Linked DNA regions of Arabidopsis thaliana. The protein of the gene in region 1 interacts with the protein of each later gene in a pairwise test. Each region holds a gene or a part of one and is shown in the gene's direction. Other genes may lie near its edges. The genes, in order: ESP and WRKY53.

Region 1 (5,848 bases):
ATCCTCTTAATGTTTATACTACTAAATCTTATTTATTTATGAAAAAATTTCAAATTAAGCAACGTTTTCTTATATTTTTTTTACATTAAAAAAAAATTCTTTCAAAAGTATAATATGTTAGGTCACATTTTAAAAGTTTGCCTTAAGCGACAATGGACCTTGGCACGGCACCGAGATTCATTGATGCAATACAGAAAATTTTGATAAAGATACTAAACTATGATAAAATGTTGCACGTTAATTTGTGGGAAATGAGTAGTTGCAATAAAAGATATATTTTCCAAAGTATATATAGTTAAAACTGTGAAGATTGTCATTTATACGTGAAAACGTGCAAAACTAATAATTGCGATAAAGACAAAAACCGAAATATGTAGTTGGGATTAAATAACAACTCTTAGTTTATTTTATTTGTTTGTCTAATATTTAATTTTATTTATGTGTTGTATGCATATGACATAATGATTGGCTTAAATTAAAATGGGTGAACTTAAAACTTATCCTTATATAAATCAAAGTCCCTATGACCATTTACGACATTTCACGCTTAATATGTTGTCGGTTGAATAGTTAGAATGTGGGAGTACACACCGAAATACACACCGTTAGGCATGACTACAGTTACGGTTATTACGATTACGGTTTATTAACCACCGGTTATGGTTATAATTTTTTTTTAACTTTAATTTTAACCGTTATATATACGGTTAAAACGATTACGATTAAATACGGTTACGGTTAAATACGGTTATAGTTACATACGGTTACGGTTATTTGATAATTATGATATAGTTAATATATAAGACAAAATATTATATTTTTTAAACTTTATAATAAAATAAATAAATAGTGATATATCAAATAATATTTATTTTACGTGATTTTGTGTTTCAAATATTTATAGTGAATCAGTTATCTATTTTTCTTTAAGTAAACCAATGAATAAAAAAATTAATGATCATAATTATAATGATTGAATTAATTACATTTTCCAAACAAAAACAATACTAATGAGAAGATGTTGTGAACATTAAGAAACAGTTTCAAGAGTATAAATAATAATAATATGAACTACTTATAATTTGATTTATGGTAAAAAGAGTAGTGGAGTAACTTCGATCATAGTAGTGGACATATTAAACAATTTAAGTTACTATTTTAGTGAAATAATTATTTATTTATACACTATTATAACTATATTTTAAGGTTTTGAAAATACGATTAACCGTACGGTTTTGATACGGTTACGGTTAATTAACGGTTACAGTTAGTATATTTTCTTAACCGTAACAGATCTATTTTCACTGTTAACGGTTACGGTTATTAACCGTTTTATACGGTTACGGTTGGGTTACGGTTAATAAACGGTTCGGTTACGGTCCAAAATACCGTTACAGTTAGATTTTGGTTATGCCTACACACCGTAACGACTATTTTTCTCGAAAATTTACTTTTAATGTTTGATGAGAAGGTATTATTGTACAATTATAAATTTTAATATAATTTTCGTTTCGATACACAATATAATCTCCACCAAAATCTTTTTCATCATGGCTATAATTTAGTTTATAATTTTACTTACAAGAAATGTTTAATTGATATCTTGAGTCAAGATGAGTCTAATTAACTTTATAACTATATAAGATGCATCTAATATGTTATATAAAAAAAACACAACAAATGAACATAACTAAAAGAAAATCAAACATAACTTGTTAAAGTACTGTTTTAAAATAAAACGGGTGGGTACTCACCTAATTATTTTAAACCTACTCTTGACACTAAACTGGCCTATAAATAGAACACCATGGAAAGGAAAAGAGACACACACAAATAAAGAAAACGAAAACACTTTTATACTTATATTGCAGCCATGGCTCCGACTTTGCAAGGCCAGTGGATCAAGATATTTTAATTAGTTAATTAAAGTTTCAATTCAAATAAGTCCCTTCTCCGATGTGGTGCTCGAATTTGGGACCTCCATACTTTTCATATGAGTAGATGGAGGTTAAGCCGGTAGAACTACATACCAACGCCCGGATTATTCTATTTAAATTGATAATTCAACTTTTCGAAAGTTCATAATTTTGTACAAAAGACATTATCTAGGTTAACTTGGTTATTGCCAGTTTGCCACTAAATAACAGTACGTAGTATTCTATCACAAAGGCTAAATAATAGTACGTATATATCATCACGAAGGCTGAATATTGTTGATAGTCGTTACTTGTTTTTTTTTTGATAAGCTATAATATAACTTTTATATGCTTTCCAAGTTAGATCATGGTATTGATTAAAGAGATAATTAAGGATCGGATATCTGAATAAATATTTCTTTAAAATTAAAATTACCAATCATGTATATTCAAACCCTCATACAGATCGGTTTAAATTCGAATTTATTATTGCAATAGACATATTTTTAACAACATGTAATGTTATTTAAATTATTATTTAGAACAAGATTAGTATATAATATAGTTTTTCAACTTTAGACTTATCTTATAGTTATATATTTCTAAATTTTATGTTGATTGGATATGAATATTTTAGATTTGGAAGTTTGAATTTTATGTTATTACTTTTAAGAGAATACCATTATTGTTATATTAATGCTTTAAAATTTTGAATTAGATTCTTATAATTTTATGTTATATTTGTTGGTAAACATATTTTAAAGAATCTACTGTACTTTGTTTTGGGGTCAAGTACGGAAATTAAATTTTAGATATTTGAGTATTCAGTGTTTTAGAAATTTAGTGTTCATAGACGTAAGAGGAAAAGTTGATGATACTTGAATTAAGTAGAACACCTAAGCATAGTATTTAAAAGGTTTCCATATAGTTGACCAAAAAATTGAAACTTCTATTTTTAATCATTAATAATTCTATTTAGTACTGTGCACAGCCATTAACTAATAAGCGTTGAATCTAGTTTTTTTAATATAACATCTATATATACATTTTTGCAGCTATTTTATCAAATAAATTTTAGAGTTGGACTTATTTACAACTCAATGTCATTAGCATTAAATATTTTTTCCAAAATAATTAATTTTACATTAAATTTTTAATTTAAATTGTCAATCACATTATCAATCAAATTTAATCCAAACAAACTTCACATCAATCCCTTAAAATTAGCATAAACTTCACATTAATTATTTAGACATGAAAATATTTATTTAAAGATTTAAATCTTCTAAATTTTTGCTTTTAGAGTTATTATATCATTACCTAAAAGGCAAAAAATATTAATTTTTTAAAATATTATTATTTGTATATTTAAACTTCATAAAACATTATTAATATTTGAATTTATAAAAAGTTTAATCTATCAAAAATAATTAACATCATTATATAATATATAGAGTTTAAAAAGATCTCAAAAAAAAATTCGTCATATTTTGTGATTCGAAATTTTAAGAATGAACATATATTAACCAATTGGCGAAAAATATGTGGGTTCAACGTCCCGCAACGACTAAAATATTTTGACAATGATTCATAAACATATTATAAATAAGATCAATATTAATAAAGTAAATAGTTTTTTTTTTTGGACGGGTTTGGCAGGACGGGTTTGACAGAACGTTACTTAGTAACAATGGTAAACTATAAAATAATTTACAGATTTTTATATATATTAATTTTAAAAAATGAATTGTCTCCGCGGTGTACCGCGGATTAAAATCTAGTGTTACATAATTATCAAAGGAAATTAAAGAAACACATGCATTATCATCGTATGATTTATGTTGGTGATAAATAGGTGGGGCAGAAAGGAGGAACGGGACCAGGACCTAGAAGTTCACACGGCATAGCCGCGGTCGGAGACAAGCTCTACAGTTTCGGCGGCGAGTTAACACCAAACAAACACATCGACAAAGACCTCTACGTCTTTGACTTCAACACTCAAACTTGGTCAATCGCTCAACCCAAAGGAGACGCCCCAACTGTATCCTGCTTAGGCGTGCGCATGGTGGCCGTGGGAACTAAGATCTATATCTTTGGAGGCCGCGATGAGAACCGCAACTTCGAAAACTTTCGCTCCTACGATACGGTGACATCCGAGTGGACATTCCTGACGAAGCTTGATGAGGTGGGAGGACCCGAGGCTCGTACTTTCCATTCGATGGCTTCGGATGAAAACCATGTGTATGTATTCGGTGGGGTGAGCAAAGGCGGTACTATGAATACTCCCACGCGGTTCAGGACAATCGAGGCGTATAACATTGCTGATGGGAAATGGGCTCAGCTACCGGATCCAGGAGATAACTTCGAGAAAAGAGGAGGAGCGGGATTCGCTGTGGTACAAGGGAAGATTTGGGTGGTTTATGGGTTTGCGACCTCGATTGTGCCCGGAGGCAAAGATGACTATGAGTCTAATGCTGTGCAATTCTATGATCCGGCTTCCAAAAAGTGGACCGAAGTAGAGACTACAGGAGCGAAACCTTCCGCAAGGAGCGTGTTTGCCCATGCGGTAGTGGGAAAGTATATAATAATATTTGCAGGTGAGGTATGGCCTGATCTCAATGGGCATTATGGTCCCGGGACGCTGTCCAATGAGGGATATGCGTTGGACACCGAGACACTGGTGTGGGAAAAGTTGGGAGAAGAAGGTGCACCAGCCATACCACGAGGTTGGACTGCCTATACTGCTGCCACTGTCGATGGAAAGAATGGCCTCCTCATGCATGGCGGAAAGCTTCCGACCAACGAGCGAACTGATGATCTCTACTTCTATGCGGTCAATTCAGCTTAATGCGTGTCAAGATTTGTGTTGTGTGTGTGGCTCGTTAATATTTATTACTATCCAATAAGGAGCCCTAATGGTTTGCTGTATTATTACAAATTATCTGTGTGTGGGACTCGTCGAGCTTTTTTACTCTAATGAGGCCTACTCATGGTTGTGTGAGTGGTTCCTTAAGTATCATTGTCCAATAAGGAGCCAATTTATTTATGGCTGGCTGTTTTATTACAAATTATGTGTATGTGTTAATAATTAAAGATTGAATTATCTACAACTTTATCGTATTATCATTTATTTTCTCTCAATGGTTTTAACTTTTAAGTCTTAACATATACCGTAGCATGAAATTTGTGACTACGAGTTTGGGTAGAGGTGCGGGATTCCTTGTGGCGCAAGTCATGATTTGGGTGGTTTATGGGTTTGTGACTTCAAGTTTGCCTGGAGGGAAAAGTGACTACGAGTCTAATGCTGTGCAATTCTTGGATCCCGCTTTTGGAAAGTTGACAGACACAGAAGTAGAGAGTACGGGAGCAAAGCCTTCAGCAATGAGCGTGTTTGCATATGCAACAGCGGGAAAACATATAATAATATTTGGAGGTGAGATCTGGCGAGACCCAAAGGCACATTAAGGTCCAGCCGTCCAGGGACGTTGTCTACCGAAGGTGATGCGTTGAACACTGAGACAAGTCTGGGAGAAGTTTGGAGGAGGAAATGAACCGGAGATGCCACGTGGTTGGACCACCTACACCCAGTGCCGGCTCATACCATTTATGTGCCTTATAGCAAAAAATTTAAACATATATATTTTGTGTCTCTTTTGCATGTATAATTTTTTTTTTGTACCTCTTTGGTATATACAAAAAAAAATATTGTGCTCATTTTTTTTTTTTAAAGAAAATTTCCCGGATATAGGGCGGTCGCATTGTCCGCCTTTTTACTTAACCCGGCACTGCCTACACCACTGCCACCATCTATGGAAAAAGAGGTATCTTCGTACATGGCGGAAAGCTTCCGACCAACGGCCGTGCTGATGATATCTACTTCTATACATGCAGTCAATTCAGCTTAATGCATATGTTAAGGTTTATGTTGTTTT
Region 2 (4,024 bases), on another chromosome or scaffold:
CTACACTATACTTTGCGCAAATCAAATCTATCGAAAACGATTTTGGTAATCCCATTCCCATGAGTGAGTTTTGACCCAAAACAAATTTAAAAAAGTAACCATTTCATTAGTAAAACGGTAAATATGGTTCATAAACCTTTTAGTGGTTATTGGTCCTGTACACTACACTCGTGTGTGTCAACTTCAGCTATGAGATTTTTGCTGTAACTTTTTGGATAACGGTTCAATTATTACAAAGGTTATTTCTTACGTATGAGAGGTCCAAATTACAATTGAATAATATTTGATGACATACAAAGTTAAAAAGGATTAATCATAAGAAATGAATGTTGGAATGGAATGCATCTATCGATCTGACTACTTTAGATAGCTTGATGTTGGACTTAGTCAGCAAAGACCTTATCATACTCTTGTTGTATTGTATATATCGTATCACACAGTGACTGGTTTTTTCTACTTTTCTCTTTGGAACATATCAATCATTATGTATAAATAAATTTTGTCCAAATTAATGGCCATTTGTCTCAACCATAAATAAATATTTATTCACACACCTATATGACTATTTGAGATAATTCCATGGTGACTTGGTCAGCAAAAACCTTGTCATACTCTTGGTGTATTATCACATAACTTTGTAGATTATATTCTTATGGAACATATCATATATATTTGTCCAAATTAAACCCATTTGTATTATTTTCCCCTCTCGAGTTTAATATTTCTTATTTAGAAACAGTTAACAACTTGACATAGCTCACATAATCACTCACAGACTATATATGTATAAGCAACTACCATTTTAAATATTATTTAGTTATATTGTTAGACTGCAACTATTATTTATTTTCTTTGCCAAACAAATTTATATTTTTTCATGTTAATACAATATTATATCTTGAACAAATGTATGCTTAAATATATTGACACAAAACAAAAACATATAGGGGTTTTTAGGAAGAAATTTTGTACAGATTAATTAATCCTCATCAGATTTTTATTTTATATCTTATTTTTAGAAGTGTATGATTTTAAAACTAGAACAATCAAATCTTAGTAAATTTCATTCAACATAATTTTTATGTTATTGCTAATCTATTGAATGTTAATAAGAATTGTATTATACCAAATTACCAATATGTGTTTTGATACTTGTACTTAAAACAGAATGTGGAATATCCTTTCCCTTATTAATGATATTAAACATCATTACAATTCATAGTTATAGCAATGAAATATTATCCATAGAAAGGTTGTTGCATAATGCATACTAGTAAAGCATCAACCAACATATTTTGAAAATATTCTTAATCAAATAAAAAACATATATTGGAAATTCTTTAACAGTAGAAAAAAACATATAATAATAGAGAATCTTAATCACATGTACAAAGTCGTAGTTTTGAAAGTGTACATTGAAAGAGACAGTTGTATAACCCTTTGTTGTCTAATTATATAATTAACCCACTATAGTTAAATAAATGATAAACTTGGTTACAACTACATTAACAAAATTGAAATGTTGAATTGGTCAGCCTTTGACCTTATACTCTTTCACTACCACCACCCCACTTATCAATTACACTCTGGCCCTATACTTCCTTATACCAAAGACTTTTCTTCAATTTGAAAGTTTTGTCTCTCTTTTAAAAAGAAATAAAATAATTATTTATGGTTTGGTCATTTGGTCAAATTTTCAAACACTGAAAATCCAATGCCTTTATATACCAAACCAACACTCATCCATTTTTATCACCAATCCTATAACACTCTCATTCTCATCATATCATTCTTCAATCTATATAACCCATTCTTAATTATACTCAACACACATTATATTTTTCTGATCATATCATTCTTTCAGTCCATCTATATAACCAATTCTTGATTTATACTTAAAACACACATTATACATCTTTCTCATCATAGTTTGTATCAATTTCCTAGAGTAAACTACCTAAAGGAAAAAAAAAATCTATTTTGGGAATCATATACTAAAAATGGAAGGAAGAGATATGTTAAGTTGGGAGCAAAAGACATTGCTAAGCGAGCTTATCAATGGATTTGATGCGGCCAAAAAGCTTCAGGCACGACTTAGAGAAGCTCCGTCGCCGTCGTCATCATTTTCATCACCGGCGACGGCTGTTGCTGAGACTAACGAGATTCTGGTGAAGCAGATAGTTTCTTCCTACGAGAGATCTCTTCTTCTGCTAAACTGGTCATCCTCACCGAGCGTACAACTTATTCCGACGCCGGTTACTGTAGTCCCGGTGGCAAATCCCGGCAGTGTTCCAGAATCTCCGGCATCGATAAACGGAAGTCCGAGAAGTGAAGAGTTTGCCGATGGAGGAGGTTCTAGCGAGAGTCATCATCGCCAAGATTACATTTTCAATTCAAAGAAAAGGTAACAAATTGTTGATATCTTTTTTCACAATTCACCAAATTGAATTTAAAAATCTCATTTTTTCTAGAAACTAATTTGAAATTTGGGTAATTTTTGCAGAAAGATGTTACCAAAGTGGTCAGAAAAAGTGAGAATAAGCCCAGAGAGAGGCTTAGAAGGACCTCAAGATGATGTCTTTAGCTGGAGAAAATATGGTCAAAAAGACATTTTAGGCGCCAAATTCCCAAGGAGTTATTACAGATGCACACATCGTAGCACACAAAACTGTTGGGCAACGAAACAAGTCCAGAGATCAGACGGGGATGCTACGGTTTTCGAAGTGACGTACAGAGGAACACACACTTGTTCGCAGGCGATCACAAGAACACCACCATTAGCCTCGCCGGAGAAGCGACAAGACACCAGAGTCAAACCAGCCATTACCCAAAAGCCAAAGGATATTCTCGAGAGTCTTAAATCCAACTTAACCGTTCGAACCGATGGGCTTGATGATGGTAAAGACGTTTTCTCGTTCCCTGATACGCCGCCGTTTTACAATTACGGAACTATCAACGGCGAGTTCGGCCACGTGGAGAGTTCTCCGATCTTCGACGTTGTTGACTGGTTCAATCCAACGGTCGAGATTGACACAACTTTCCCCGCGTTTTTACACGAGTCGATTTATTATTAATTAAAATTTGTAACAGAGAAATAGATAGTAACTAGTAAGTAATGATCAGCGAGAGTTAAAACATAAAAGTACTTAGAGTAATCTAACGATGCATAATAAGGAATGTTCAACAGGACTTGAACATGATTTCAATACTAAGAGAGATTTATCTAGCTACTGGTAGTAGCCGCAGACTTCTTGTTGTAAGCTTCCACTTCCTTTTTGTATGCTTCCATCAGTTTTGCGGCCTTTCCGTTGTAAACTTGCTTCTCTTCTTCACTCAATTCCTGCAAAGACGTATTCGCACAGATAGATTAACAACAGGAAATTGTTACAAGCCAATGTGTTTTGTTGCTAGTAATTGTGATTTTTCATACCTTCCATTTCAGTGAAATGAGAGCAGTAACAGTAGCGTTGTTTGTCCCGGGACGTTCTTCTGTCAATTTCTTCCTTTCGTCCTTGCTGTAAAAACATGATAAGTTAGGAACTTTCTATAAAGACCAATTCGGATTATAACTTGAAGTAAGTTCATACCTGAAGAGAAAGTATGAAGAAGCAGGCTTCTTTGGTTTGTTAGGGTCAACGTTTTCGTTCTTCTTCTTCTTGGTCGCCTTCTCCTTCTGCAAGAGACAAATAATTATGATCCTGTGAGTCTCTGAGTTGAAATAGACCTTGGTGAGTTAAGTGTGAGTGAGAGAGAGTTATTACCTTGATCAGATTATCAGTTTTCTCCTTCTTCTTAAGCATTTGAAGAGCTTCTTGTTTGTGGAGTTTCAAGAGTTCCTCTTCTTCTTTCTTCTGACTCAGGGCTTCTTCTTCCTTTGTCCTCTTGTATTCCTCCATTGCTTGCAGGTATGTCTCCTTGTTCTTCTTTGCCACCTATTTAAACAAGAATACCTCAATCATTCAGTCTTAAGTCTTTAATGGCAGTGAAATGCAAGCATATTTGTATGGAAACAGACCTTCTCGTA

Evidence for each region.
Region 2: the proteins of ESP (region 1) and WRKY53 interact in binary tests that used the Arabidopsis thaliana proteins (3 or more experiments, as listed by UniProt).

Annotation. Positions count from the first base shown.
Region 1 is NC_003070.9:20,169,911-20,175,758, reverse strand, and holds ESP (epithiospecifier protein), read left to right. Parts: upstream 1-1,809; 5' UTR 1,810-1,873; coding exon 1,874-1,906; exon of another isoform or gene 1,907-2,001; coding exon of another isoform or gene 2,002-2,016; intron 2,017-3,394; exon of another isoform or gene 3,395-3,771; coding exon 3,772-4,764; 3' UTR 4,765-5,044; downstream 5,045-5,848. UniProt on the Arabidopsis thaliana protein: Specifier protein that contributes to constitutive and herbivore-induced simple nitrile formation. Converts glucosinolates both to epithionitriles and to simple nitriles in the presence of myrosinase.
Region 2 is NC_003075.7:12,391,716-12,395,739, reverse strand, and holds WRKY53 (WRKY family transcription factor), read left to right. Parts: upstream 1-1,757; 5' UTR 1,758-2,000; coding exon 2,001-2,404; intron 2,405-2,503; coding exon 2,504-3,074; 3' UTR 3,075-3,223; coding exon of another isoform or gene 3,224-3,340; 3' UTR 3,341-3,370; downstream 3,371-4,024. Other genes in the region: 3xHMG-box2 (HMG (high mobility group) box protein), read right to left, coding at 3,224-3,340, 3,431-3,515, 3,588-3,673, 3,762-3,932, 4,016-4,024. UniProt on the Arabidopsis thaliana protein: Transcription factor. Interacts specifically with the W box (5'-(T)TGAC[CT]-3'), a frequently occurring elicitor-responsive cis-acting element. May regulate the early events of leaf senescence. Negatively regulates the expression of ESR/ESP.